Linked DNA regions of Macaca mulatta. The protein of the gene in region 1 binds, or shares a complex with, the protein of each later gene. Links are inferred from orthologs where the notes say so. Each region holds a gene or a part of one and is shown in the gene's direction. Other genes may lie near its edges. The genes, in order: PEAK3 and YWHAB.

Region 1 (15,196 bases):
CCTGAGACACAGTTCACACCTGGGACAGGCACAGCTCACACCCGGGACACAGTTCACACCCAGGACAGGCACAGCTCATGCCTGGGACATATAGCTCACACCTGGAACACAGCTCACACCCGAGACACAGCGCACACCTGGGACAAGTACAGCTCACACCCAGAACACACAGCTCACATCCGGGGCACACTCAGTTCACACTGGAACACACAGCTCACACCTGGGACATGCTCAGCTCACACCTGAGACATGCTCAGCTCACACCTGAGACACAGGCACAGCTCACACTGGAACACACAGCTCACACCTGGGACACACAGCTTACACCTGGGACATGCTCAGCTCACACCCGAGACACAGCTCACACCTGGGACAGGCACAGCTCACACCCAGAACACACAGCTCACACCCAGGACACACTCAGCTAACACCCAGGACATGCTCAGCTCACACCCAGAACACAGAGCTCACACCTGGGACACACACAGCTCACCACACCTGAGACACACACCTCACACCCAGCTGACACTAAAACCAGGCCCTGGGCACCAGAACTGACCACAGAGGCAGGCAGGGCTCTCGTGAGAGCACAGCTCACACCCGGGACATGCTCAGTTCACACCTGGGACAGGCACAACTCACAACTGAGACACAGCTCACACCTGGGACACACAGCCCACCCCAGCGCCTGCTCAGCTGAGCATCTCCCAGCCGACCTCAGGGCCTGGGCTCAGGTCTGCTGAGGACCCAGCACACGCAGCGGTTACAGTCAGGGGCCCCCACGCCCTGTCCTCCGTCCTCCCCACAGCCCAGCAGGGCTGTCCGCAAGGAGGAGCCATTGCCCCAGCCCTCCACCTCCCTCCGCTGCCACTTGCTTCTCAGAACAGTTGGCAAGAGAGGGCCACCCCACAAGGGAGAGGTAGCCACCCTGGCCCCGGCCCAGGACCATGGCTTCTGGGGTCCTGAGTGTCCCTCTAAATGGGTCTACTGGAGGGACCTTTGCCTCTAGGTACGCATTGACCCCTGAGCCAGCCTCAGACAAGCCCTGAGCGTGGCCCCATCATGCCCGGCTCTGCTGACTCATGGCTCAGGTGGGGAACAAGACCAAAGAGCACAGGGGGTTCCCGGGGAGTCCCTGCTATGTGCATTGCAGAGGCAGTGACAAGAACAAGGCCGAAACAAGGGCTTCACCCTGCAGGAAGGCCTGGACCCGGGTCCTTGGAAGAAGGTGATAGAAGAACATTGGTCTCTGCACCTGCAGTGGTTGGGCAGATCTAGGACCAAAGCTGGGGTCACAGGCTGACTGCAGCTCAGGTCAAGGAAAAGCTTCCCCGAAGTCACTGCCCTGTTGCTCTACAGATGGTGAGCTCCCCGTCACGGGGGGTAAACAAGGAGGAGCTGAGGTTTTGCAGAAGGATTCAGACACTAGACAGGGACCATAGGGACCATCTGTGACCTGGCCTCCTCATAGCCAATTTTTGCCCCTCCCCCTCCACATCCTCCAGAGGACAGTTAGGACATTGCTGGGGGCAGGGACAGGAACCATTGTTGGGCCAAAACCTCAGTCAGAAAGGGCTTGGCTGCCAACCGAGAGGTTAGGACAGACCCTCCAGGACTTTGCAGGAAGGGCTCAAAAGCAGCTCTGCTGCTGCCCAGCTGTACGATCTCAGCTGGTGACCGAAGATCACCTAGACCATCAGTGTCCTCATCTGTAAAATGGGTCTGAGGGTCAAACCTATTACCCTGTATTCAGAGGCCAGGCCTGCAGATGGGCCTGATGGCTTGACTTGGATCCTGGATCCCTCAAGACTGCTCTGAGATCAGTCAGAGAGAAACAGAGAGAAAGCCGGCTCAGCCCTGGAGGGTGTTTGAGCAAAGGTTTCAGACGGAGCTGCAAGGCGACGCCGGCCCATTCTCCCTGAGCTGTGGCCGGGAGGGCCCAGGCCTGCACCACGGTGTACAGACGGTCCAGGGGGCTCGACATGAGTGAGGGTGAAGTTCCTGTAACCCCAACCGCCACCCCTGAATTGGGCACAACCAATTATTTTCTTCGCACCTGCCTGACTCTGCTTACCATGACAACCCCAAGGGCCTCCCCAAAATTGATATCCAAGTGCCTTTAGCCTATCAAAGACAGGAGGGGGTGCATTCTCGGTCATGTTAGGGTTCACAGAGCATCTGTATATTAGGATTTCCCAGCCCCCTGAGCTCCCCACCCCATCCCAACATGAACCAAGACCCCTCAGTCCCCCACCCCTCATCCTGCTGTATTTGGTTCAAATCCAATAAAAATGGAACCGATTTAATAACAAACTTCAGATTTTGTTCTTACTCCCGTGGGAGCAACAGGGGGCAGGGCTGAGGGATGAGGGGCTGCTGGGGTCCCCAGGGGAAGCCAACCCTGAGAGAATTCCACGCCACTAGTGACGTGTGATAGGCCACACTTCTGCAGCGCCCATGCTGTTCCCAGCGCTGTTCCAGGCGCTGTGTGTGTTGCCTCCTTTCACACTGAGGCCAGCCCTGCGAGCTGGGTGGATCCTGTTAACGAACCCATTTTACAGATGGGTCGAGCGAGGGGCAGAGAATGGAGGGAAGCCGCTCTGAGACCCCAGCTAGGGACAGGTGGGGGCTGAGAAGAGTGGGCAAAGCTGGGCCGTTGGGAAACTCCCTCCCCAGCCTCAGGCCAGGGAAGAAAGAAGACATGGGTCCCCGCGGTGCCTCCTGGAATTGGCCTGTCGGGGAGTCTGGGTGCTGCTGACAGGGTCCCACGTCTGCCCTGCCTGTCTCTGAGGGCTCCCAGAAAAACCAGGGAGTCTTGGCTTTGGAAGTGAGATTAATAAAGTGCTTTAGCCCGCGCCAGTCCTCACTGACAGATGGGGAGATCGAGGCACAGAGCAGCAACAGATGGGGAAGCCGAGGCACGGAGAGGCGACAGGTGGGGAAACTGAGGCACAGTGGGCGTGAAGGCTCAAACCCCACCCACCCAGGAAGGCACAGGGAGAAGCTCGTGTTTTTTCAGGAAGGAGGTGGACGGAACCAGAGTGCAGAAGTTCCAGCCAAGAGCAGCCTCCCACTCGCCACAGCCCAGTGTCGGTCTCCGGACCTCGGTTCCCCCGTTTGAACCTAGGACTAAGGTTCCTTTACTTCCCTGCCCTTCGGGGGCAGAACAGAGGCCCGTCAGGGACTGTGAGGCGTCCCTCTCTCCATGCCTGGTTTCAAGGCAGCTGGAGGGTGAGGGGGGCTCTAGGCTGTGGGACTCTCCGGTGGGGACTGATTTCCCGTTCTCTCCTGCAACAAAGGCAGGTGAAACTATTGTCCTGTGGGCCTCAGAGTCCCCATCCAGGAGAGCCGCCCGTTCCCCGTGCAACGCTCTGAGTGCCTGACATGAACCAGGTGCAACCTCCAAGCTTTCCATGAATCCTGTCTCCTTTATGGGGTGCCCTGCGGGGAGGGCAGGGGAGACCTCAGAAGAGGCCCTTCCTGCTCAGGCAGCCAAGACCCAACTAAAGTAACACCCATCTCCTTGGTGGCTGGAAACCCAAGACAGGATCCCTAAAACCAGGACGGGACCAAGCCATCCTCATGCCTCATGTCTGGGTGGCTTCTGACCAAGCCTGCCTTGACTTCCCCTCCCAGACAGAGCTAGGACCAGCCCCAGCCCACGCCTGCACCCTCGTGGGTCTCTCACCCCCATCTTCTGGACGTGGACGCGTGTTTGGGGTGTCTCTCTCTCTCCCACATCCCCCCAGCAAGCCGACATCTTTTCCAGGTGATTCCTTGAGCCCCGCATATTAACTTCCCTCCTGTTTTCCTCCGCAAGACAGAGACACGATTCCCACACGCAAGCTTTTGCTCGTGGGGCCAAGGGAAGCTGGAGCTCAGGTCTCTGGCTTCCATTGCTGCGTGGCCTGGGGCAAGTCACTGCCCCTCTCTGTGCCTCGGTTTGTTTGTCTGTAATTTGGAAGATAATAATCCTGCAATAGGCTGGGCATGGTGGCTCACATCTGTAATCCCAGCACTTTGGGAGGCTGAGGCGAGTGGGTCACCTGTGGTCAGGAGTTCGAGACCAGCCTAGCCAACATTGTGAAACCCCATCTTAACAAAAAATACAAAAATTTGCCGGGTGTGGTGGCAGCCGCCTGTAATCCCAGCTACTCAGGAGGCTGAGGCAGGAGAACCACCTGAATCCAGGAGGCGGAGATTGCAGTGAGGCAAGATCGTGCCACTGTGCTCCAGCCTAAGCAACAAGAGGGAAACTACCTCAAATAATAATAATAATAATAATAATAATAATCCTGCAATAGTTCTGTGGTATGCAGGATAAAAACTGCATGAGTTTCCTACAACTGCAGTTACAAATGGCCACAAACCTAGTAGCTTAAAATAACTTAAAATTATGATCTGACAGATCTGGAGCCCCAAAGTCGAAAATCAGCAGGGCTGTTTCCTCCAGACGTCCCAGGGGAGAATCTACTTTCTGCCTTTTCTGGCTCCAGAGCCGCCTGCATCCGTGGGCTCGTGGCCACATCATTCTGACCTCTGTTTCGGTCATCACGTCTTCTTCTCTAACCCTGAGCCACCTGCCTTCCTCCTTACAAGGACCCCTATGTGGACACTGAGCCCCCCAAAAATGAAGATCTCCCTATCTGATGAAAGGTAGCAGAATTCCATCTGCAACCTTGATCCCCCTCACCAGACAGCTGCCTCGTCAGATTCCGGAGATGAGGACACAGGAGCTTTTTGGGGCTGTTATTCTGCTTACTAAAAAAAACCAAAAACAAACAAACAAAAAACGGGTCAGGCACAGTGGCTCCTGCCTGTAATCCCAGCACTTTGGGAGGCCGAGGCAGGGGGATCACTTAAGGTCAGGAGTTCAAGACCAGCCTGGCCAACATGGTGAAACCCCATCTGTACTAAAAATACAAAAATGACCCAGGTGTGGTGGACGTGCGCCTGTAATCCCAGCTACTCGGGAGGCTGAGGCAGGAGAATCGCTTGAACCAGGGAGGCGGAGGTTGCAGTGAGCCAAGATCGCACCACGGCACTCCAGCCTGGCGACAGAGTGAGACCCTGTCTCAAACCAAACAGGCATTTTTCTCCGAAAGGCCAAAGTCATGTGAAATCCATCAGCATGTGGCCCCCCTGCCCCGTGCTGGGCAATGCTGGAGACCCAGAGAGAATGTGGTCCCAGCTCCCGCAGCTCAATAAGGGCCTCTCAAATGAAGGGACAACTGTAGGATCTGGAGGGGCCTGATCCAGAGGCCACACCACACTATGAACTTTTTTCTTTTTTTTTTTGAGACAGAGTTTCACTCTTGTCACCTGGACTGGAGTGCATTGGCACAATCTTGGCTCACTGCAACCTCTGCCTCCTGGGTTCAAACGATTCTCCTGCCTCAGCCTCCTGAGTAGCTGGGATTACAGGCGCAGGCTACCACGTCTGCCTAATTTTGTATTTTTAGTAGAGACAGGGTTTCACCACGTTGGCCAGGATGGTCTCGATCTCCCGAGCTCAGGTGATGTGCCCGCCTCGGCCTCCCAAAGTGCTGAGATTACAGGCATGAGCCACCATGCCCAGGCTTTTTTTTTTTTTTTTTTTTAAATGGAGTCTTGCTGTGTTGCCCAGGCTGGAGTGCAGTGGTGGGATCTCAGCTCACTGCAACCTCTGCCTCCCAGGTTCAGGTGATTCTCCTGCCTCAGCCTCCAGAGTAGCTGGGATTATGGGTACCCACCTCCATGCCCGGCTAATTTTTTGTATAGGCATTTGACCAGCTTTTGCATCATTTTAAACTCTGTGCCCTGGCCAGGCGCAGTGGCTCACGCCTGTAACCCCAGCACTTTGGGAGGCCGAGGTGGGCAGGTCACCTGAGGTCAGGAGTTTGAGACCAGCCTGGCCAACATGGTGAAACCCTAACTCTACTAAAAATAATAATAATAATACAAAAATTAGCCAGGTATGGTAGCCGGTGGCTGTAGTACCTTGGGAGCCTGAGGCAGGAGAATTGCTTGAACCCGGGAGGCAGAGGTTGGAGTCAGCCAAGATTGCGCCACTGCACTCCAGCCTGGGCGACAGAGTGAGACTCCACCTGAAAAATAAATAAACAAGGCCGGGAGCGGTGGCTCAAGCCTGTAATCCCAGCACTTTGGGAGGCCGAGACGGGCGGATCACGAGCTCAGGAGATCGAGACCATCCTGGGTAACACAGTGAAACCCCGTCTCTACTAAAAATACAAAAACTTAGCCGGGCGAGGTGGCAGGCGCCTGTAGTCCCAGCTACTCGGGAGGCTGAGGCAGGAGAATGGCGTGAACCCGGGAGGCGGAGCTTGCAGTGAGCTGAGATCCGGCCACTGCACTCCAGCCTGGGTGACAGAGCGAGACTCCGTCTCAAAAAAAAAAAAAATTAAAAAATTAAAAAAATAAATAAATAAATAAATAAACAAAATAAAAACTAACCAGGCATGGTGGTGCACGCCAGTGGTCCCGGCTACTCAGGAGGCTGAGGTGGGAGGATCACTTGAGCCCAGGAAGCAGAGGCTGCCGCGAGCTATGATCACACCACTGCACTCCAGCCTGGGCGACACAGTGTAGGTGACGGAGCGAGACCCTGACTCAAAGAAAAAAAAGTATGGCATGGGACCCACTCGAAGGATGTTCATAAGGGAAAGGTAGTCTCCTTCCTCTCCTTCCCTTTCTCAGGGGATTGGGGGAGGCCAGGGAGACTCAGCAGTGGCTCTGTGGACCTCTGCTCCCAGCCTCGAGCTGCTGTGTGACCCTGGATGGAGCCCATATTGTCTCTGGGCCCATTTCCTTCAGGGAAATGGGATCGGGAACCCCTCATGAAACACACTCAATCTTTGCTGCAAGAACATCTTTGGGGCCGGGCAGGTTGGCTCACACCTGTGATCCTAGCACTTTGGGAGGCCGAGGCAGTGCAGCAGGACGAACCGCAGACAAAACTCCTTAGACACTGGATTAAAGAAGGAAGTGGATTATTCGGCCGGGAGCATCGGCAGACTTGTGTCTTAAGAGCCGAGCTCCCCAAAAAAAACATTCTTGGCCTTTTTAAAGACTCACAAGTTTAAAGGGTCCATGTGAAAGGGTCGTGATAAATCGAGCAAATGTGGGGAACGTGACTGGGGACTACAGGCATGAGCTAACAGACCAAAAAGTTTTACAATGCTTTTTCCATACAGTGTCTGGAATTTACAGACAACACAAGTAGTTTAGGTCAGGGGTCAATGTTATTATTATTACTTTTTTTTTTTCTTTTTTTTTTTTTGAGACGGAGTCTCGCTCTGTCGCCCAGGCTGGAGTGCAGTGGCGCGATCTCGGCTCACTGCAAGCTCTGCCTCCCGGGTTCACGCCATTCTCCTGCCTCAGCCTCCCGAGTAGCTGGGACTACAGGCGCCCGCCACCACGCCTGGCTGATTTTTTGTATTTTTAGTAGAGACGGGGTTTCACCGTGTTAGCCAGGATGGTCTCGATCTCCTGACCTCGTGATCCGCCCACCTCAGCCTCCCAAAGTGCTGGGATTATAGGCGTGAGCCACCGCGCCCCGCCTATTATTACTTTTTTTAACTCCTAGGGCCGGATGGTTTTGCCAAGGTTGTCTGGCTATTTATCTTACTTTTGTTTCTTTCTAACTGTTTGCTTTGTCTCTCTCCTCCTGTCTTGTGAACTAGGCAAGGTGAGGGGAGGAGGGCAGCAGGAGGAGTAGTGGGCTCCTTCCCTAGCCAGAGGATCGCCCCAGGAGTTCGTTGCAGGCTGCAGTGAGCTGCGATTGCCCCACTGCGCTCCAGCCCGGGCAACAGTGTGAGACCCTGTCTCCAAAAAAAAAAAAAGAAGACAGTTTTGACAGGCACACACTTCAGCTGGAATTTCACCCCGCGTCTGCTTTTCCTTGGGTTTTTTCCATTCTTGATTTTTCCATTTATGGTGATTTTATCTACAACGTCTTTTCTAAATAAATGCATCGAGGCAGTGAGGAAGGGGGAAGGGGGAAAGTGAGCCGATTCCGTTTTTTCAAAGAGAAATCCAGCAGGCGGGGCTGTTACCAGGCGGGATGCGGGAGACGCTTTTCTTTATTGGCCAGAGCACGGAGAGGGGCGGGGATTTGTCCACAGTCACACAGCCAGGCGCGGCAGAGCCCGGAGGGTCCTCGCCCACACTCCGCATTCGGGGGCCCTGGGATCGGGCAGGGGGCCGCTGGGGGCTCCTCAAGATGCTGCCACAGGAGGGGAGGCGGTTCCCGGGGAAGTGAAACCCACAGACCCCACTTTCACCTTCTCCAGGGACAGCCGTCACCACGTTCTGTGCCCTCCCTACGGTGGGCCAGCTCTGCCCCTCTGCCCATCTCACAGGGCTCCTCACTGCCCCTACCCCAGCCTGGCCTCTGAGGCTGTCAGCCCTGGTGCTATTGACTTTCAGATCCCACCTCCTGGTCTCCGTCCGGGCTGTTCCCTCCGCCCGGGATGCTGTTCCCGGCTACATCCTGTCCTCTGAGGGCGGGCAGGGGAGGGGGCGGCCGCAGTTGGTGGGGAAGTGTTGCCCAAATGCCCCCGCCCCACCCCGGGCTGCGGTCTGACAGTTGGCCGGACGTTTTCCTGTCAGCTGCCGGCGCTAGGTCAGACCCCTCCTGCGAGGCCAGGGGCTGTGGCCATTGGGAGTTCGTCCCCCAGGACCCCTCCTCCCCCAGAGGGCACGCCAGTCTTGAAGGTAGGGGGCTCCTGGAGCAGGGAGCTGGACAGAAGCGGTTACTTTTTCAGGTTGGGATCTGGGCGGGGGTGGGTTGGGGCCTGGTTGCCGACAGCAACCGCACAGCTGAGCCCTCAGGGAGGAGGCCTGAGTGTGGATCCCTGGGTCCCTGGACACTGTCTCCCCCACAACTGACCCCCAAAGACCTGTTCTCAGGCTGAACATTCTGTCCCCATCCCAAATGTGCAGTGGGGGTTCCTTCCCACTGCCTGGAAGATTGATGGATGACACACCTGCCTCATGATTGAGGAAGTAGGCCCAGAGAGGGCAGGAAACCCACTCGGGATCACACAGCAGGGTCAAAACTGGACAAGGGAGTGGAGTGTGGGTGCCCCTGTTCTCACCAAGGGCCCTGGAGCAGGGGGCCTCAACGGTCTCCCATGCTGTAGCACTCACGGACCCCTCCCATGTCGCCCTGTGCGTGTGCCACCCCACCACGCCCCGTCTGACCTTCCCCCAGCAACATGAGCAGCCCGGAGACTCCCACAGAGCCCCCCGAGCCCGACGACCCCACCTGGTCGACTCAGCCCACATATAGCAACCTCGGTGAGCAGCTCCCCGGGGAGCCCTGGGCCGGGGGCGTGCAGGGAGCGGCAGGGGGTGGAGGACACCGTGGCCTCTGGGAACAGCAGCAGTTGGTAAAATGAGTGACCTCAGGAAGGCCCGGAGTGGGCGAGGGCTGAAAAATAACCTGTGGGTTGGTGGGCGGGGTGTGTTGGCTCACGCCTGTAATCCCAGCACCTTGGGAGGCCGAGGCGGGTGGATCCCTTGAGTCCAGGAGACCAGCCTGGGCAACATAATGAGACCCCCCCAATCTCTACAAAAAAAAATAATAATAATAAGATGGACATGGTGTCAAGCGCCTGCAGTCCCAGCTACTGGGGAGGCTGAGGCAGGAGGATCCCTTGAGCCCAGGAGGTCAAGGCTGCAGTGAGCCATGAATTGGAAAAAAATATATACCATTAAAAAGAGAGAGGGAGGCCGGGCGCGGTGGCTCAAGCCTGTAATCCCAGCACTTTGGGAGGCCGAGACGGGTGGATCACGAGGTTAGAAGATCGAGACCATCCTGGCGAACACGGTGAAACCCCGTCTCTACTAAAAAAAAAAATACAAAAACTAGCCGGGCGAGATGGCGGGCGCCTGTAGTCCCAGTTACTTGGGAGGCTGAGGCAGGAGAATGGCGTAAACCCGGGAGGCGGAGCTTGCAGTGAGCTGAGATCCAGCCACTGCACTCCAGCCGGGGCGACAGAGTGAGACTCCGTCTCAAAAAAAAAAAAAAAAAAAAAAGAGAGAGGGGCTGGGCACGGTAACTCATGCCTGTAATCCCACCCTTTAATCCCAGCACTTTGGGAGATCAAGGAGGAGGATCACTTGAGGCCAGGAGTTCAAGACCAGTCTGGCCAACATGGCAAAACCAGTCTCTGCTAAAAATACAAAAATTAGTGGCCGGGCGCGGTGGCTCAAGCCTGTAATCCCAGCACTTTGGGAGGCCGAGAAGGGTGGATCACGAGGTCAGGAGATCGAGACCACCCTGGCTAACACGGTGAAACCCCGTCTCTACTAAAAAATACAAAAAAACTAGCCGGGCGAGGTGGCGGGCGTCTGTAGTCCCAGCTACTCGGGAGGCTGAGGCAGGAGAATGGTGTAAACCCGGGAGGCGGAGCTTGCAGTGAGCTGAGATCCAGCCACTGCACTCCAACCTGGGTGACAGAGCGAGACTCCGTCTCAAAAAAAAAAAAAAAAAAAAAAAAAAATTAGCCAGACATGGTAGTGGACGCCTGTAATTCCAGCTACTCGAGAGGCTGAGGCAGGAGACTTCCTTGAACCTGGGAGGCAGAGGTTTCAGGGAGCCAAGATTGAGCCACTGTACTCCAGCCTGGGCGACAGAGGGAGACTCTATCTCAAAAAAAAAAAAAAAAAAAAAAAAAAAAGGCCGGGTGCGATGATTCAAGCCTGTAATCCTAGCACTTTAGGAGGCTGAGTCAGGCAGATCGCCTGAGGTCAGGAGTTTGAAACCAGCCTGGCTAATATGGTGAAACCCCATCTCCACTACTAAAAATACAAAAATTAGCCGGGCATAGTGGCGGGTGCCTGTAATCCCAGCTACTCGGGAGGCTGAGGTGGGAGAATCGCTTGAACCCAGGAGACAGATGTTGCAGCGAGCCGAGATTGGGCCACTGCACTCCAGGCTGGGCGATAGAGCAAGACTTAAAAAAAAAAAAAAGCCAGAGAGACACCTGCCCAAAGTCACAGAGGTAAGAGTAGGAGTCGCTGAGTGCTGGGTGGCACCATTCTCTGAAACTGATCCATCCTCCTATGAGCTTCAGTTTCCTCTTCTGTAAGCTCTGTCCCCCAGACTGGAGTGCGGTGGCGCAATCTCGGCTCACTGCAAGCTCCGCCTCCCAGGTTCAAGCCATTATCCTGCTTCAGCCTCCCGAGTAGCTGGGACTACAGGCGCCCGCCACCACGCCTGGCTAATTTTTTGTATTTTTAGGAAAAGACGGGTTTTCACCGTGTTAACCAGGATGGTCTCGATCTCCTGACCTCGTGATCCTCCCGCCTTGGCCTCCCAAAGTGCTGGGATTACAGGCGTGAGCCACCGCGCCCGGCTGCGTCTGGCAAATTTGTTTAAATTTTTGCAGAGAGAGGGTCTCACTAGGTTGCCCAGGCTGGTCTCAGACCCTAAGTTCCAGTGATCCTCCTGCCTCGGCTTCCACCTTCCTAAGTGCTGGGATTACAAGCATGAGCCACCGGCGCCCAGCCTTATTACTTCCATGTTAGAGATGGGGAAACCGAGACTGAGAGGTGGAGTCACGTGTCCCGTTCCCATTCCGCCTGTCTTCAGCCCTCCCCACTGTCTCTCCCTGCAGGTGAGATCCGTGCCCACCTGCTGCCCTCCAAGGCCTGCCGCCCCCGGACCCCTGGGTCCTGCTCCACCGACCCACAGCCCCTGCCCCCACCCCTGCCCAAGAAAATCCTAACCCGGACCCAGTCACTGCCCAACCGCAGGACCTCCCATGCCAGTTCCATCCAAGTACAGCTGCCTCGGAGGCCCTTTCTGGGGTCCCACAGTGTGGACAAGAGCCAGGCTGAGGTGGGACCAGCTTGTCCCCCTGCAGAGCTGACCTTTGGCCTGACTGATGCCCCGCTGGGCCTCTCTCTCCGCAATCTGCACAGTCCAGAGGCTGTGCACGCTGCATTGGCTGCCCAGCAACTGCAGGGCCTCCATGCCATCTATGCCCGGCTCCGTGCCCGGTTCATGGGGGGCCACCCCGGGCCCTGCCGCCCTGGCCACGGCTTCCGCCTCCTGGACAGCTCGCCCTGCGCAGAGAGCGGGGATGCCCTGTACTACCGCGTGGTACGCGTGCATGACGACGCCTGGCACATCCTGGTCGCCAAGGTGAGACCCACGGCCCCACCTTCTCTAAGGTGTCCCCAGTGTCCCATCTTAGGCATAACTCAGGGCTTGTTTCGCTTGGCCTTTCTGTGAGTCAGTTCTCTCACTGCTGTAAAGAAATACTGGAGCCCAGCGCTCACACCTGTCATCCGAGCACTTTGGGAGGCCACAGCGGGCGGATCACGAGGTCAGGAGATCGAGACCATCCTGGCTAACACGGTGAAACCCCCGTCTCTACTAAAAATACAAAAAAATTAGCCAGGCGTGATGGCGGGCACCTGTAGTCCCAGCTACTTGGGAGGCTGAGGCAGGAGAATGGCATGAACCTGGGGGGCAGTGAGCCAAGAATGCGCCACTGCACTCCAGCCTGGGCAACAGAGCGACTCTGTCTCAAAAAAAAAAAAAAAAAAGAAAAGGCTGGGCAGCACAGTGGCTCACGCCTGTAATCTCAGCACTTTGGGAGGCCAAGGCGGGCAGATCATGAGGTCAGGAGTTCGAGACCAGCCTGGCCACATAATGAAACTCCGTCTCTACTAAAAATACAAAAATTAGCCAGGCGTGGTGGTGTGCGCCTGTAGTCCCAGCTACTTGGAGGCTGAGGCAGGAGAATCGCTTGAACCCGGAGGTGGGGGTTGCAGTGAGCTGAGATTGCACCACTGTATTCCAACCTGGGAGACAGAGTGAGACTCTGTCTCAAAAAAAAAAAAAAAGTAAAGTAAAGAAAAAAAGGAATACTGGAGACTGGGTCATTTATAGAGAAAAGAGCCTTAACTGGCTCATGGTTCTGGTGGCTTCTGCTTCTGGAGAGGCCTCAGGAAGCTTCCAATCATAGTGGAAGGCGAAGCGGGAGCAGCCATCTCATATGGTAGGAGCAGGAGGAAGGGAGGGAGGAGGTGCCACGCACCTTTACACAGCCGGATCTCACGAGAACTCACACGCTATCCCAACGACAGTGCCAAGGAGGATGGTGCTGAGCCATTCATGATAAACTACCCCCCAAGATCCAGCTACCTCCCACCAGATCCCACCTCCAACACTGGGGATTACAATTGGCCATGAGATTTGGTGAGGACACAGATCCAGACCGAATTAGACTTGTTTATTTTGCAACTAACACGTGAATCAACACAGTTAACCCAGGAAACCCTGTTTCTAAAGTGTGGGGCCATGGATATGGCCTTGGAGCCCTCGTCAAAGCCCCTCCCACACCTCTCTGGACGGGATCTGTTTTTTTGTTGTTGTTTTTGGGTTTTTTTTGTTTTTTGTTTTTTTTTTGAGACAGAGTCTCACTCTGTTGCCCAGGCTGGAGTGCAGTGGTGCGATCTCCGCTCACTGCAACCTCCGCCTTCCGGGTTCAAGCGATTCTCTCATCTCAGCCTCCGAAGTAGCTGGGATTACAGGCGCGCCACCACGCCAGCTAGTTTTGTATTTTTAGTAGAGACGAGCGTTCCCTGTGTTGACCAGGCTGGTCTCGAACTCCTGACCTCAGCGATCCCCCTGCCTCCCAAAGTGCTGGGATTACAGGCGTGAGCCACCGTGCCCAGCCCAGGAATCTGCTTTCGAACTCATTGCCCAGGGACACTGCCACCATCTTCTTCCCTGGCTTAATTTTCCTAAAAGCCCTTACTGGTGACTGACTACCCAATTAACATGGACCTCCTGCTGCTGGAGGGATGCGGGCAGTCTCCCACCCCCAGCCATAGTGGGGGCAGTTTGGGGGTGAGCGGGGGAGACTTCGTGGCAGGTCGCTCTGGGGCGGGCAGTGCTGGTGGGGGGCCCAGTGATTCAGGCCCCTTCACCCCCTCTGCCTTGCAGGTACCCAAGCCCGGGGCGGACGTGCCCCACCCGTGGGGCCTGGAGCTGCAGGCCTCCCTGTCTCCACACTTCAATCTGCAGGGGTTGTGTGGCGTGGTGCCTGAAGGCACACTGCCCGGGGCGCCCTGGAGAGGCGCGGTGGCGCTGGCAGCGGAGGTGCCGGAGCGCACGGTGGCGCAGTGGCTGGTGGAGGCCTGCACGCAGCCGCCGGAGGAGTTCGTGTGGGCCGTGGCCCTGGTGCTGCTGCAGCTGAGCGCGGCCCTGGAGTTCCTGGAGGCGTGGGGCGCGGCCCTGGTCGAGTTGCGGCCAGAGAACTTGTTGCTGGCGGCACCTCGGGGCTGTGCGGCGACTGGGCATGCGCGCCTACTCCTCGCTGACTTTGGCCGCGTCTGTCTGCAGCCCCCCGGACCCCCGGGCTCCCCGGGCCCCCACGCGCCGCAGCTGGGCAGCCTCCTCCGCGAGATGCTCGGCCTTGCTGCGCCCTCGACCACGCCTTTGACCGCGGGCCTGGAGCGCCTGGCAGCACAGTTGACCCGCTTGCAGCCCTCGGCGTCCCGGACGCGGGGCGCGCTGCAGGCGCTGCTCTGGGGGCCGGGGCCTGAGGTGCGCGGCCGCGGAGCGCCGGTCGGTCCCTGGCTCAGGGCGCTCGGGCCCTGGCTGCGGTTGCGCCGTGGGCTGCTGGTCCTGCGCCTGGCAGAGCGGGCCGCAGGTGGGGAAGCGCCCAGCCTCGAGGACTGGCTGTGTTGCGAATACCTGGCCGAGGCCACCGAGTCCTCTATGGGCCAGGCCCTGGCGCTGCTGTGGGACTGAACCCAACCCAGGGCGAACACACCTGGTCCAGGCCTGCCCAGGAGGCAGGGCTGGGGCTGAGGTCAGCGTCTCTATGATCGCCAAGACGACCTCCTCCTGCCGAGTCCAGGGACGCAGCAGAAAGAGCAGCGCCCCCCTCCAGAGTCTCCCCTCTCGTGCTGGCGATGTGGGTCAAGGGCTTCCCAGGAGTGCAGCTACCCCTGCAGGGCTGGGGGCTGGCCAGCGCCTCCTGTGTGGGCAGCAGCTGTCTGAAGCCAGCAGGCCACTTCCAGGTGTGGACACCCCCGCTGATCAGTGTCTCTCTGTATTCCACCTTCCCCGGCAGCCAGGGCGCTTTTCCGCGGTGGGTCCTGTCATTGTCTCCCTGAGAGGCCAATGCCGGGACCAGAGCATTCCTGGCCCTGGAGCACCCCCTTGTGC
Region 2 (15,245 bases), on another chromosome or scaffold:
TCAGCCTCCCGAAGTGCTGGGATTAGTGGCGCATTCTCGGCTCACTTCAATCTCTGCCTCCTGGGTTCAAGTGATTCTCTTGCCTCAGCCTCCCAAGTAGCTGGGACTACAGGCATGTGCCACCACGCCCAGCAGATTTTTGTATTTTTAGTAGAGATGGGGTTTCACCATGTTGGCCAGAATGTTCTCGATCTTTTGACCTGGTGATCCACCTGCCTCGGCCTCTCAAAGTGCTGGGATTACAGGCGTGAGCCACCGTGACCAGCAGCCTATTTTTATTTTTACTGTTTTTTTAGAGATGGGGTCTTGCTGTGTTGCCCAGGCTGGAGTACAGTGGCTATTCACAGGCACGATCCCACTACTGATCAGCACGGGAGTTTTGACCTGCTCCGTTTCCAACCTTGGCCAGTTTACCCCTTCTTAGGCAATCTGGTAGTCCCCTGCTCCCGGGAGGTCATCATATCGATGCTGAACTTAGTGCAGATGCCCAGGCAACATAGTGCACTGCAGCCCAGAACTCCTGGCCTCAAGTGATCCTTCTGCCTCAGCCTCCTAAGTAGCTGGGACTATAGGCATGCACCACCACACCCGGCCAGTTTACTAGTTTCTAACAAAGCTAAACGTCGTCTTAACATATAATCTAAGAGTCACACTCCTAGGTTGAAAACTTATGCCCACGCAAAAACCTGCACACAGATGTTTACTGCGGTTTTCTTCATAATTGTCAACAGCTGGATCCAGATATCTCTCAGTAGGTCTATCAGTTCCCTAAGCCTGCCATAACAAAGGGCCACAAACTGGGTGGCTTCAAACCACAAAAACGTCTTCTCTCACAGTTCTGGAGGCTAGAAGTCTAAAATCAGTGTGACAGCAGAGTCGTGCTCCCTTTGAGACTCTGAGTAGAATCCTTTCATGCCTCTTCCTGGCTTCTTGTGGTGCCCAGCAATCCTTAGTGTTCCCTGGCTTGTAGCTCATCACTCCAGTCTCCGCCTCCATTGTCATGTGTTGTTCCCCATGTGTGTCCTGTCTTCAGATGGCATTTTCCTCCTTCTTTAGGGCACCAGCCACATTGGATTACAGCCCACTTGAATGACCTCATTTTAATTGATTATACTGCAAAAGCCCTTTTCCAAATAAGGTCACATACACAGATACCAAGGGTGAAAGCTTCAACATATCTTTCTGGAGGATACAAGTCAATCCTTAAGAATAGGCTAATGGGACGGGCGTGGTGGCTCACGCCTGTAATCCCAGCACTTTGGGAGGCTGAGATGGATGGATCACCTGAGGTAAGGAGTTCAAGACCAGCCTGGCCAACATGGCAAAACCTCATCTCTACTAAAAATACAAAAATTAGCCAGGCATGGTGGCATGCACCTATAATCCCAGCTACTCGTTTGAACCTGGGAGACGGAGGTTGCAGTGAGCTGAGATCATGCCACTGCACTCCAGCCTGAGCAACAGAGTGAGACTGTCTGGAAAAAAAAAGAATAGGTTAATGGATAAACATACTGTGGCAGATTCATACCAGGGGATATTTTTGTTTGTTTGTTTTGTTTTTTTGTTTGTTTTTGAGATGGAGTCTCACTCTGTTGCCCAGGCTGGAGTGCAGTGGCGCAATCTCGGCTCACTGCAAGCTCCGCCTCCCAGGTTCACGCCATTCTCCTGCCTTAGCCTCCAGAGTAGTTGGGACTACAGGCACCCGCCACCACGCCCGGCTAATTTTTTGTAGTTTTAGTAGAGATGGGGTTTCACCGTGTTAGCCAGGATGGTCTCGATCTCCTGACCTCGTGATCCACCTGCCTCAGCCTCCCAAAGTGCTAGGATTATAGGCGTGAGCCACCGTGCCTGGCCACAAGGGAATATTTTTAAGCAATCGAAAGAAATAAGTTATCAAATCATAAAAAGTCATGAAGGAAACTTAAATCACATTGCTCAATAAAACAATCCAGTCAGAAAAGGCTACATATGGGCTGGGTGCAGTGGCTCACACTTTATTACCCAGCACTTTGGGAGGCCAGGGCAAGAGGATTGCTTGAGCCTGGGAGTTCAAGACCAGCCTGGGTAACATGGCAAAACCCCATTTCTATAAAAAATACAAAAATTAGCTGGGCATGGTGGCACATGCCTGTAGTCCCAGCTACTACGGAGGCTGAGGTGGGAGAATCACTTGAACCCAGGAGGTCGAGGCTGCAGTGAGCCGTGATTGCACTACTGCACTCCAGCCTAGGTGACAGAGTGAGACTCTGTCAAAAAAAAAAAAAAAAAAAGAAAGAAGGAAGGAAGGAAGGAAGGAAGGAAGGAAGGAAGGAAGGAAGGAAGGAAGGAAAACGTATTGTATGATGCAACTATATGACTTTCTAGAAAAGGTAAAACTATAGTGTAAAAGGTCTGTGGTTGCCAAAGGTTGAGGTGAGGGGAGGGAGTGAGGGATGAAGAGTTGAAGAAAAGATTTTTAGGACAGTAAAACTTTTATTTATATACATGACATTACGCATGTGTCGAAACCTACAGAACTATGTACAACATAAAGAATAAACCCCAATGTAAACTATGGACTTTAGTTAATAATGATGTATTAATACTGGCTCATCAATTGCAACAAATGTACCACTCTAATACAAAATGTTAATAATAGGGTAAATTGTGTGGAGGAGGGAGAGGGAATGTTTGAACTCTAATATCTGGTCAATTTTTCTGTAAACCAAAAACTGTCCTAAAAAATTAAGTCTATTGGCCAGGCACAGTGGCTCACACATGTAATCCCAGCACTTTGGGAGGCCATGGCAGGAGGATCACTTGAGGCCAGGAGTTTGAGCCCAGCCTGGGCAACATAAATGAGACCCCGTCTCTACAAACACATTTTTAAAAATTAAGTCTATAATTTGAAAAAAGATTCATTTCAGTATATAAGGCTCAAGTATCATTTCTTTCAGGAAATCTTTCCCGCTCTCCCACCATAGTCCCAAGATGGGTTCGGTGCTCTTCTCCCAAGCTGCCATAATACCCTGCACATATTTTTATTTCTATGGTTGCACCTACCACATTGTATTTTAACATTTCTCTGTATTGCTGTCAATTCACAGCTGTGGTTTGCTGACCGTTGGCCTAGAATGCAGAGATGGTGAAATAATCTAATCCATGCAACCCTTAAACAGGCACCTAGGAATGCCTGACAAAGGGCACTTCTGTTCCCTCAATGCACTGTTGATGTCATTTGTGGTACAATCATTATTAGCCCTCTGGTCTGTTAGGCTATTTTCTGGATGATAGCATAAGGCACAGTTATGTGACATTAAAGGTTACTTAGCCTGAGTAGTCTTTAGATTACTGGCCTTGGGTCTGCCAAAGACCATCCTCATGGGGAAGTTTTTGCACTAGGAAACCTCTCCAGGATTCAAATCCAATGGTTTTGACTCAAATCATGCTGTTAACATCACACAACACATTCTCAATCTTGTTCAACTTAAAAGGTGGTACAGTACAGGGGTCACTGGCACACACGCCTACATGACAGATAACATAAGTGACGAAAACAGACTCAGGTCGAGAAGGGTTCCTGACACTTGGGAAAGTCCATACCCAGTCTAGAGTAGGCAGCCACTCCTTGGCTTCAGCCAATTGTTGCCACACAGAAATGTGGACACGGTGTTACCAGACAAGGTGTAGAGGCAGATTTCTGTTCACACAGAAACTTTTCAGTTTAAAAAAGTGTTGGCAACTAAGTCAAACTGCTTAGAAATACTGGAGATGGCATATTGGGAAGGTAAGGAATCATCCAATTGAATTGTGGTATTTACGATGGGGGAGAAATAGCAGCTAAAGGATAAGGGCAGCTTTTGGAGAACGCTGATTGTCTCAAGGAACTTACATATTGTCATCTAGGTCTGAGTGCACACTAAATAATTTAAGCAAGAACAGGACACGATTAGAATGGTATTTTTAAAAAGATCACTTGGCAGTTGACGGGCGAGGCTGAGAGTAAAACAGTGAATTAGAAGTCTGTCATTTAGCTAAGTAAGGGTAAAGGCAAGACGGCAAAGGCCTATTTACTTGGTTCTTTCTCCTACCCGACTGCAAACTCCAAGACAGCAGGGCCCCATCTGCCTTGTTCATTGCTGTGTCTCCAGCACTAAGCAAAAAGTCTGTTCCACATTTGTTGAAAGAATAAATGAACAGGAGAGAGGGAAGGCGAGAGGCATTTTGAAGGACTGAGTTTAAAAATCAACTACCTTGAAGCCGGGCAAGGTGGCTCATGCCTGTAACTGTAATCCCAGCACTTCGAGAGGCTGAGGCGGGTGGATCACCTGAGGTCAGGAGTTTGAGACCAGCCTTGCCAATACGGCGAAGCCCCGTGTCTACTAAAAATACAAAAATGAACCGGGAGTGGTGGCATGCCCCTGTTATCCCAGCAACTCAGGAGGCTGAGGCAGGAGAATTGCTTGAACCTGGGAGGCACAGACTGCAGTGAGCCAAGACTGTGACACTACCTGGGCGACAGAGAGAGACTCTGTCTCAAAAACAGAAAACAAAACAAAACAAAATCAACTACCTTGAGAGGAGTAGAATGTCGGTAATTGTGAGAGCAGTCATGAGGGGAGGGGAGCCATGGAAGCCTGTTTCCTTCCCTGAACTTCCTCAAGGAGGGGGCATCTTAAAGACGGAATCATGTACACAGATTTTTGTGGGGTTTTTTTGGAGACAGGGTCTCACTCTGTCGCCCAGGTTGGAGTGCAGTGTCATGACCATAGCTCACTGCAGCCTACAACTCCTGGCCTCAAGCAATCCTCTCACCTCAGCTTCCAAAAGTGCTGAGACTATAGGCGCGAGCCACCGCGCTCGGCCCTACACAGGTTTTTGAAAAAGACCTTTGTGCGTTGGATTCCTGGCACTTCAAGTGGCCTCTTCAGTCTACCAAAGAAGGAAAAAGTAAGTACTCCGAAGGATTGAAAGGAGGATTAAGGGAACATTGAGGGATGAGCAATTTCTGTTCTTCCCTAGCTCCACTATTCCCAAAGCACACAGCAAGAGGACTGACATCGGCTTCCGACACCGTGAGGATTACTTTCTGGGTGGAGGGGGGACTGCTAAACCTCGAGTCTCCGTACCTGGCCCTGGCGCGTTTCCAGTCTGAGCAGAAAAGGAAACCCCCACCCACACCTCACTCCTAGTCCTCCGGGTGCCTTTACAGCCCGTATCTTGACCACCCCCAGCTCCGCCCTCTCTCCTCCCACCTCCTTTTCCCGCTCCCCCGCCCCATTTCCTTCTTCTCCGCCCACCTCCTCCTGGGTCCCTCCCCCGGCCATGCGCCCTGCCCCGGCCGCGGCAACCCTGCCCTTCGTTCTTCTTCCTCCTCCCTTCCGTCAGCGCCCCTCCCGTGGGGCCGCGGCAACCCCGTGCCTCGCTTGCCCAATGAGAACACGGCGTGGGGCGGGGCGCGGCCAGGACCGGAGCGGAAGTGGCGACCGGAGCGGAAGTGGAGCTGCCGCCACTGCCGCCGCCGATTCCGGAGCCGGGGTAGTCGCCGCTGCTGCAGCCACTGCAGGCACCGCTTCCGCTGCCTGAGGAGTGGGCTTGGGAAGGAAGAGGTCATCTCGCTTGGAGCTTTGCTCGGAAGGGTCTTTGTTCCCTGCAGCCCTCCCACGGTGAGTGCGGCGCGGGGTCCGACCGGGGCCCCCGGGGGCCCAAATTCGAAGCCCCTCTTTGGCAGCTGCGACGACGGCGGCCCAGCGGGTGGGCCCCGGGGGATAGCGGTGCGCTGCCTCTTCCGCTTCGCGCGGCCGCCGGCGGCAAGGCCAGGCCTCGCAGCGGCCCCTCCCTGTTTCCGGGGCCGGGCCCTGTACCTCTTGGAGAGGCCCGGGCCTCCCTCGCCGCCTAAGGTCCTGCCGGCCGGGCGGGGTGCAACTCTGTGCTGCACCGTGAGGGACAGCGGAGCCGAGGGTCCCGGACTCTCCCTCACTATCTGATTCGGTCCCTCACGCGACCCCTCCCTGCGTCTTGGTCGGCAAGAACCGTCCTCTTCAGCCCAGTCACCTCTGCTCCGTGCTTTCCGGTTTCCAGAAATTAAAATTTAATCAAACGCGGGTGAGTTTTCTAGCCCCAGTCCCCCTGTTTGACTCCTCCTGGATGAGTAAGGGGTTTAACCTTGGGAGACAGCAGTGGGGGAACCCCCTCCCATTTTGCAGTAAAACCATTTCATCATCCTTAACTGGTTATGGAGCCTGGCAGGACCCAAGATTCCCTAGGAAGGGAATTGGGTTTGAATCAAGAAAATGTGTTTGTTGGAGCCGGTTACTGAGTCAGGCCGGATCCCCAGGAAAAAATATCGGGATGAGAATCGGAATATTTTCCCACAGTATTTACCGTCATTTAATGCCAAATTCTTTTGTGTCTTTACCCCAAATTCCCCCTATTGTGTGTTAGCACGTTTTTCGGTCTGAAATTTGCCCGGTGGCTTCCTGGTCGGGGGGTGGGGAGCGGAGGGAAGAAGAGGTGGGAAGGTGAGTGCATCTTTGCCGCAAATGGAGAACTCCCATATAATGAGGTTTCCAGAGGTGGCAGCCTTGGTAAGCAATTTGCCAGCCTTTCTGTGAAATGCATGTCTCTTGTCGTTGCCTTCATTGCATTTCTCTTTGGTAAGGCTAGATAGCATCAGGTCCTGATTTTGCTTACCCTGTGTGGGAGATGGAATTTGGCAAGATGATGCTATGAACATAAAATCAGCCTGCCACGGAAGCCAAAACAGAAAGGTGAAGCACTTATAAGAATATGAAAATTGTCTGCATTTCTCATTCTGTCAGTTCATATGAAGCCAGACACAGATGCAATTTATGGAGCTGGACGCTGCAGCTTTTGCATTTTCATGTTGGAAATTTATATAAGTATTTGTTCTTGGTGAATTTCTTCTTGACTGCTTCCAGGGTACCCTATTTCTTACTTAGGGATATCTCATTTGTTTGAGCCCTCATTTTTCTTGGATTCCTGTCCTTGGCAACACGAAGTGTATGAGTGTACAACCTGTCAATCTTATTGGACCTAAGTTAGAAATTTAAGTGTGGCTTTCAAAATGGAAGGCAAATAATCCTGTAGCAACTGCAGAATTATTTTCCTAGCCTGCCCCTCCAATGAGATAAGAAACCATTCACCTATCTTGCAGATGAAGTCTTTATGAGAAATGAGGTGATTTGGCCTAGACTCTACACCTAGTTTTTTTCAAATTGAATATCCTCATTCATCAGTAGCAAATATGGATTGCCAGCCCCTGGAGTATGACTCCTACCCTATAATCTTTTGTACATTTCCCGTCTTGCAGTGCTTGCTATATTGAAGCCATTTTAGAATTGGAGCACTATAGATCAGGGAGGCAGCCTGTATAAAACCAGGCTGAGCAAATTCCCACGATGCTGGTTCTCTAGGCAGAGTCTCCAGAGATTTGGGCCTCTACAAAAAGTGCATTTTGCCCATTTGGCTGTGGATAGAGAAGCAGAAAGAGCACTGGACTTGGAGTCAGGTAAATTTGGTTGAAATCTTGCCTGCAATATTTTCTAGCTTTCTGAATCTTCAGCATGTTAGTCTGTGGTTCTTAGTTTTCTTATCTCCAGGGTTATCATTAAGCCTTTTTTATAAACTGTAAATTGTTAAATATAAGCTTTTGGTTTTTTAATTAGAGTTCACTATTAATGGCTTTTTCTCTCCAGTTAACATCTGATGACACTAAACCCTGCTTTGTACACAAGTTGCTTTCAAAAAATGGTATATTATTATGGGACTTTATTTTGCATGTAGGCAAATCTAGTCTTTCTGAATCATTTTCTCATCTATATAGCGCAAATGGTAATGCAGCTTTGGATAATTTTTGTTGTGACAAGCTCAATGAAAATAAGCATCTGGGATATAGTTGGGGTTCAATAGATGTTTAACCATCTGCATGAATATACACGTGTATAGATTAGACATAGCGTATGTGCTATTCATGGACATCTATATAGAATCCATCCATTTGTGATTTATCTGATGAGGTGGTATCAATTAGTCTATAATAATAATTACCACTTACAGTACTTACTGTGTGCTAAGCTTTCTTTTAAGCACTTTAAGCATATTAGCTCAGTCTTCATAACAACCAATGAAAGGTAAGACTATTAGCCCCATTTTACAGATGAGGAAACTAAGGCACTGAGAAGAATAATTTTCCCGAGGTCTCACACACAGCACAAGGTAAGTGCCAGAACCAGGAATGAAACTAGATGATCTGGTTGTAAGGAATGATATTATAGATTTCTACGTGTGGTAGAGACAGCACATGTATATGTTTTGTGTGAACACCATTTAGACCTTAATTTTTCTTCACACCAATCCTAATAAACGTTTGAATGGGAATACTAGCTATTTTTGAAGATAGATACAGGACGATTTATTGTGGAGCATATACCCATTCTGGCCTGTAGGGATGATATTGTTAGCATGCATCAGGAAGCAAGCTTGTGAACAATCCAGTTTTTCTAGTACTTGCTTCATACTAGGGAGAAAGTCATCAGTTACTTTGGCATAGAATGTTAGGTTCTTCATCTAAGAGAATTTGATTATGACCATTAATTTTTGTTTATCATACTACTTTATCAGTAGATGTTCAGATTTTTCTTATTTTTGTTGGCAAGGAGGAAATGAGGAAATATATCTACGTAAATAGAGAAAAACTTCTAAATTAAAACATCCTGTTGTGCTACCTGCTCTTTCAGTGCCAACAAACTGAGTTTTCCTTTAAATGCTGGTACCTTAGAGAATGAACTAAAATTTCCTTGTAAAGGTACTTTTAAGTTCCTTGTTTCTACATTTTTCTAGGGAAAGATGACAATTCACTAGTTTAAGGGGCAAGAAATTATGGTTATATAATAGCAACCTTTAAGCTTTAGAATCCTTTTGATCTCTATGTGAATATGATCTTAGCAGTCATCTGTATGTCATGATGGAGAAACTAACGAGCTGGATTCTGAGGGAATTTTTCTGAGGGGAATACTTGAGGAAACAGACTAAAAGTGCTTTCTGTGTCATGATAAGTGTGCTGAAGGCCAATCATATTACTGCTTTCTCTACTAAAAGATTTTCTAATAGAGGTATGGTTATATGTATCTAATACTCATAATGAGATGTAAATGATCAATGGCCTCAAGTCATTCCTAGCAGATTGTAGGTTAGTTGACTTCTTTTTTTTTTTTTAATTCTGGCCAGTTCTTTATTATCTAAGTTTTTCCCTTACTGGTTATTTTATTGTTTTCCCTAAGAGAACCAACAGGAAGTTATTTCCAAATGGCCTTGATCAGGACAAGAAGATTGAAGGCTACAATAAAGTAGATATGAGTCCTATTATTATTATTTGCCCTCAGCTAAGAGCTTTCCTTTAAAATTTGACATTTTGATGAGTCTTTGGCGTGTTTTATGCTGTTTTTAACTCCTTGATTTTGTTTTTGTTTTTAAAGGTAGATATGTTAGCTTAATAGGCCAGTTTTAAAATTTCACTGTAACAACTTTGTATAGTTCTTTTAAAAATTGGCAATTCCCTTTTCCTTAAATGAGTTTTGGAGATCATAATTAATCTTTAGGATATAGGGTTACATAAAGGCAAGAACATTAATTTTAAAATTAATGTTGGTTTAGATCCCAGACCTGCCATATATAGCTGTGTGACCCTGAATGAGTTAACTCTTTGCGTCTATAAAAGGGGACGATGTCACCTGCCTCATAGGATACTTAGGATCAAATGCGTTTCTAGGAATCCCTGAGTGCTTTGCAGGCCATAAATGATGGATGGATATTTTTATTATTTACTAAACGAGTTAGCTGGTTTGGGTTTTTGTATAGTGAACTTTTTATATAGCGAACTGATTGGACTTCTGAATGGAGGAGATGAACAGAAAGTAATCCAAAGGCCTGTTGAAAGTCAGTTTGAATTGGCTGGGCTCAGTGGCTCATGCCTGTAATCCCAGCACTTTGGGAGGCCGAGGCAGGCGGATCACGAGGTCAGGAGATCAAGACCATCCTGGCTAACAAAAAATTAGCCGGGCCTGGTGGCAGGCGCCTGTAGTCCCAGCTACTTGGGAGGCTGAGGCAGGGGAATGGTGTGAACCTGGGAGATGAAGCTTGCAGTGAGCCGAGATCGCGCCACTGCCCTCCAGCCTGGGCAACAGAGCGAGACTCCATCTCAGGAAAAAAAAAAAAGTCAGTGTGAATCTATAAATACAATGATTGGTAGCTGAAAAGTATTAGTCAAAATGTATAGTGTTGCCTCCTGATTTAGAGCTGGCTGGCTGTTTTCAAAAAGTAATCTAAGACTATAAAAACAGTCTATATTTTAAAGGTCAGATGTGCACTACCTTCCTCTGTCCACATAGGAGATAATTGCTTTTTCACTTTTTAAGAATGCATCAGGTGATCAAGTAGTCACTCAGTGTGCTAGGCCTTGTGCTCCACATTGGGGGTCCAAAGATACAAGTCTGGATTCCTACCTTAAGCTCACAATCCAGTGTGGGAACCAGCAGAGACACTTGCATTGCAGTAAACTGTGATAAGGGCCATTTTAGAAATAGGCATAGGGAAATTGTTGTGTGCCTTTCTTTTAAAAGTCTTTCAGAAGCAGAGTACGTGTAAAATAAATGAGGTACATGGTAAGTTTCCCTTCACTGGCTGACCATTTGTTTTTAAGTTTTGTGTGGAATGTACTGTGGTTGCCATTTATTCGAGTGCTTAATGTTTAGCATCATAAACAGGTTTACTCCTTACAGGAACCCTAGTGAGAAGATTTGCCTATCTTTTTTTTTGCAGAGTCTCGCTCTGTTGCCCAGGCTGGAGTGCAGTGGCATGATCTCAGCTCACTGCAGCCTCTGTCTTCAGGCTGCCTCAGTCTCCCAAGTAGCTGGGATTACAGGCGCCCACCACTATACCCATCTAATTTTTTAATATTTTTAGTGAGACGGGGTTTCACCATGTTGGCCAGGCTGATCTTGAACTCCTGACCTCAAGTGATTGCCCTCCTCGGCCTCCTAAAGTGCTAGGATTACAGGCATGAGCCACCACGCCCAGCCGAGATTTGCCTGTATTATGGATGAGAAAACAGATTCACAGAGGTCACATAGCCTATGGACTTGGTGTGCGGTACTGGTAACTCAGACTGATTGGCTTCGATATGTCAGTGGGCCCCAAACTGTAGAAATCTATTCATGAGGTCAACCAATTGGACTGTCTTTATGGATCAGAATTAACATAGTGTCTTTTGGTTTGATTACTTAAAGTCAAGAAGTCAATTTATTGTCATATCTACCATTAAGTCACATGTGTAACCTTGCGCCTGTTACTTAACACCCTCAGTAAGTTTAATCATGGCTAATTGGACATAATTAGCAGTGAAATTCAACAACTGATATGAAAGAGGGGAAGGGATTTTGAAATAATAGAAATGCAGTTTCTCTCCAAATTCAGTGTTCACTGGACATAGTGCTAAGGACTTTGTATTACAGATATGCTGTGTTTTGTTTCCTAACAAAGAACCTGCAAATGTTTGAATGGAATTAAATTTATTACAGGACTCTAAATTTTATGTGTAGAATGGCACACAGACATTTTTATAGTGGGTGTTTTTTAGTGAGTAGTTTTCTCTGAGAGCCAGGAGTGCTTAACTTTTTCTGGGTAACACCCACTAACCACCTGGTCCCACTGACTTTCTCAGTCCCTCCTGCAGTAGCTTGGCATCTGATTTTTCTTCAGCAGAGTGACTCCAGAACTAAAACTTCTACTTTACAGTGCTGTGGATGCTCTATCTAGAATGGTACATCTGTGAATGCTGTTCAGAATATGTGATCAGTTCCTTACCCCATTGAAACATTTGAGCCTAGATTTTTCAGATTCTCCTGTCAGTTTTCTTCCTTGTTCTCATTTCTTTATCTGCTTTGGCCTTTGATTTTTATTTCATCTAGAAAAACATACATGCACTTTATTAATAACATCTCTTTTTAAGTCATGACCTAGCTACCTTTAAACCTCTTTCCTCTAATTCTGTCTGGTTGCTTTTCTAAGGAGAGGCATTGTAACCCTTAAACATGTGCTGTTTTTTTTTTTTTAATTGATGCATAATAGATATACATGTGCTCTTTTCTTGTGTTTCTACCACTAGAGTTTAAGCTCGCTGAGGGGAGGACTACACTGCTTTCTTTTAAATTCCTCTCAGTAATCCAAAGAGTTCTTAGAAATTTGGTAGTTTTTCATTTTGTAGTTATTTCAGCACACATTGGATTATATGTGTTACATTTTTGTGAGGTAGCTTAAGAAGAAAGAATAAGAATGGCTATGAGCCTTTATTCTAACCAACACTATACGGGCATTTTATGTTCATTATCTTATTTGATAGCTATTAATGTCTCCTTTAAACACTGAGAAAACAGATTCAGATAAGTTACAATGTGGAAATGTAGAAAAATCACCTACTTTCTCTTTAGAAGCTCAGATGTGTATGTAAGGCTTGCTAGAAGCAGACCCCACCATATATTTTGTATGTATAGAGCTTGGGTAATTCCTGGCATATAATAATGGAGTCCTCATTTGAAATTTCCAGCAAATTATTAAACTCAAAGCTTATTATTTTAGAATTGAGCATGTTCACTTTTAAAGGCTACAGCTGTCATTTTCAACTCTATCTTTGCAGTGCCTTTATTAAAAAAAATGGATTAGCAATAGGTAATCTTCTTTTTCTTTTCTTTTTTGATTCTTATCCTAGGATATCTGCTCTAGCCACTGGGAAATAACTTCTCAGTATTTTGACCCTGACTAGAAAGATATCACTTGGGGAAGGAATTGAGATAGAGGGGCTAGGCTGTTTCCTAGATCCTCTATTTTCAGCATTTATTATCTGATTTAGGATTTTCTTCAAAGAAAGAGTGCCTTTAGAATTATGTTTCATAGCTGTTTATCTGCACTCTTGATTTCTCTTTTTAAACAGAAAAACACTTTTTTTCTTAAAAAAATAAATAGTACCAAAATTTTTAAAAAGTAATACATACTTGAAGAAAATTCAGAAAGATAAGAAAATGAGGATATAATAATGTTATTACCCAGAGAGACAGCCAGTGTTAACCATTTGGTGTTAACCTTTCTTTTTGGGTTTGTTTGCTGTTGAGGGGATATTTTACAGAAATAAAATATTATTGTGCAACTTCCTCCCCCCAGCCTCCATTGCTCTTAAATAAGTCTTTTTATGACGTTAAAGCTCTTCTTTTGATGGCCACGTAATCTTGTACCATCTATCTCTCCCCCCACCCACCTTTTTTTTGAGATGGAGTTTCACTCTTGTCGCCCAGGCTGGAGTGCAGTGACGCAATCTTGGCTCACTGCAACCTCCACCTCCCGGGTTCAAGTGTTTCTTCTGCCTCAGCCTCCCGAGTAGCTGGGATTACAGTACTGCATCACCCCGGCCAATTTTTTTGTATTTTTAGTAGAGATGGGGTTTCACCACGTTGGCCAGGCTGGTCTGAAACTCCTGACTTCAGGTGATCTGCCTGCCTTGGCCTCCCAAAGTGCTGGGATTACATGTGAGCCAGTGCACCTGGCCAGTCTCCTTATTTTTTAAACCGTTCCCATATTGTTGGATATTTAGATTTGCTTCCATTTTTTCACTAAGCAATCTCTGCGTTTATCAACAAATGCTTCCCAGTCCTGACTTGCTGCATCCAGTGGCTTGGAACAGATTGACAGCCATCATCATCATGTAGGTGTGCTGGAGAGCTCCTGTTCTCAAGCATGTCAGTCTCTTCCTGAAATGTGCCCAGCACAAGGAAAATCTCTTGACTTACTGCAGGGTTGGGCCCTTTGTGGCCTCTAATGAGTTTGCCTGCCCCAGTATCTTGACGCTTCTGTAGTGGTGCCAGGCCTGATGATGAGACCATAGTCTTTCAAAAACTTTTTAGGAGACAAATAAAGAGTATCTTGCTGACTTTTTTTTTTTTTTTAGTGGGAACCTCATTCAAAGTCTTGGAACAACAGTAGGTCTTGATTAAAAACCATCATGGCATATCACTAGAAAATTTAATTAGAAACTAACGGATAAACTTCAGCTACAGTTAACATGTGTGTTCATTTTAACATAACATACTATCTATACAAGATTAATCTAGATTTTTGCTTTTACTTCTCACAAAATTATATATTTGAAAAGAAAATTCAAGCTTATGGTTTTGTGGACTACTACAGTGTAATAGTCGTGGAGAAGAATAATAGTACTTCAGTTTGATTTTGCACTATGCATTTTTCAAGGAAAATTTCCACATTTAGTATTCTTTAATTCCCTGCCCCTCATCTTCACAGCAACTCTCCTGAGGTAGATGCCATCTTTATTTTATGGATTGGAATGAGATTTAACATGCTTACATGGCTGTATAGTGGCATATTGCACTGTGTCACACAGTCCTGCTGCCTTCTGACTGTACTGCATATAGGTACTCTGTGTTCCTTGTGCTCTCCCAATAATGATTTGTAGAAAAACTTGATATTCATTTGCATATGGGTTTTGTGCTTAGTACAGTTGTAAGCATTAAATGTGAAACAAATATGAAGCTTTCCTTTGAGGGCACACAAGTGAAGCTGTAAATGTTACCAGTACTCATCTGTATCATAGAATGACATAAAGAAGCCCTAGACCGTGTAATAGGCTATAAGCATATTCGGAGTCATAGGCAAGGTAAGGGCAGTCAGGGAAGGGTTTGTAGCCCTAGATGAATGGATGCAGTTTGGATAGGCAAGCAGTAAATAGGAGAGCACGCTAGATGACAAAAACAGTTTCAGACATGTTTGAGCATGGTGTTTATAGAGCATGTGGTGCTGGCTAGCCTGAGAGAAAGGTACATGTTGGAGAATAGTGGATGAGAAAGCCAAACAAGTAAAGAGGAGACAATTTATCAGGAATTTGAAAGCCAGGTAGAGCTTAAATTTGATGGAGTAGCCCAAAGGGTGTCGTTGGAAGTTACTGGGTAAGGACAAAGGCAAGACTAGAGGTAATTTAGGAAGAGTAATTTTTTGTTTGTTTTGAAACAGGGTCTCTGTCACCCAGGCTGGAGTGCAGTGGTGCAATCATGGCTCACTGCATCCCTGGCCTCCTAGCCTCAAGCGATCCTCCCATCTCAGCCTCCCAAGTAGCTGGGACCATAGGCATGAGCCACAACACCTGGCTAATACTTAATTTTTTATGGAGACAAGGTCCTACTATG

The links.
Region 2: the proteins of PEAK3 (region 1) and YWHAB are in contact, whole or in part, in a cryo-EM structure (PDB 8DP5), measured with the Homo sapiens proteins. The link is inferred for Macaca mulatta from reciprocal best matches to the Homo sapiens genes PEAK3 and YWHAB. Residues at the interface, in NP_940934.1 of Homo sapiens: Arg66, Thr67, Gln68, Ser69, Leu70, Pro71, Thr72, Arg73; in NP_003395.1 of Homo sapiens: Val48, Lys51, Asn52, Arg58, Lys122, Arg129, Tyr130, Gly171, Leu174, Asn175, Val178, Glu182, Ile219, Leu222, Asn226, Leu229, Trp230.

What each region holds. Positions count from the first base shown.
Region 1 is NC_133424.1:3,021,645-3,036,840, reverse strand, and holds the start of PEAK3 (protein PEAK3), read left to right. Parts: upstream 1-7,917; 5' UTR 7,918-8,471; coding exon 8,472-8,715; exon of another isoform or gene 8,716-9,218; coding exon of another isoform or gene 9,219-9,335; exon of another isoform or gene 9,336-9,541; intron 9,542-11,435; exon of another isoform or gene 11,436-11,599; coding exon of another isoform or gene 11,600-11,624; coding exon 11,625-12,154; exon of another isoform or gene 12,155-12,566; intron 12,567-13,966; coding exon 13,967-14,776; 3' UTR 14,777-15,196.
Region 2 is NC_133415.1:97,732,491-97,747,735, forward strand, and holds the start of YWHAB (14-3-3 protein beta/alpha), read left to right. Parts: upstream 1-5,567; 5' UTR 5,568-5,645; exon of another isoform or gene 5,646-6,084; intron 6,085-6,448; exon of another isoform or gene 6,449-6,521; coding exon of another isoform or gene 6,522-6,566; intron 6,567-7,415; exon of another isoform or gene 7,416-7,510; intron 7,511-15,245. UniProt on the Homo sapiens protein: Adapter protein implicated in the regulation of a large spectrum of both general and specialized signaling pathways. Binds to a large number of partners, usually by recognition of a phosphoserine or phosphothreonine motif.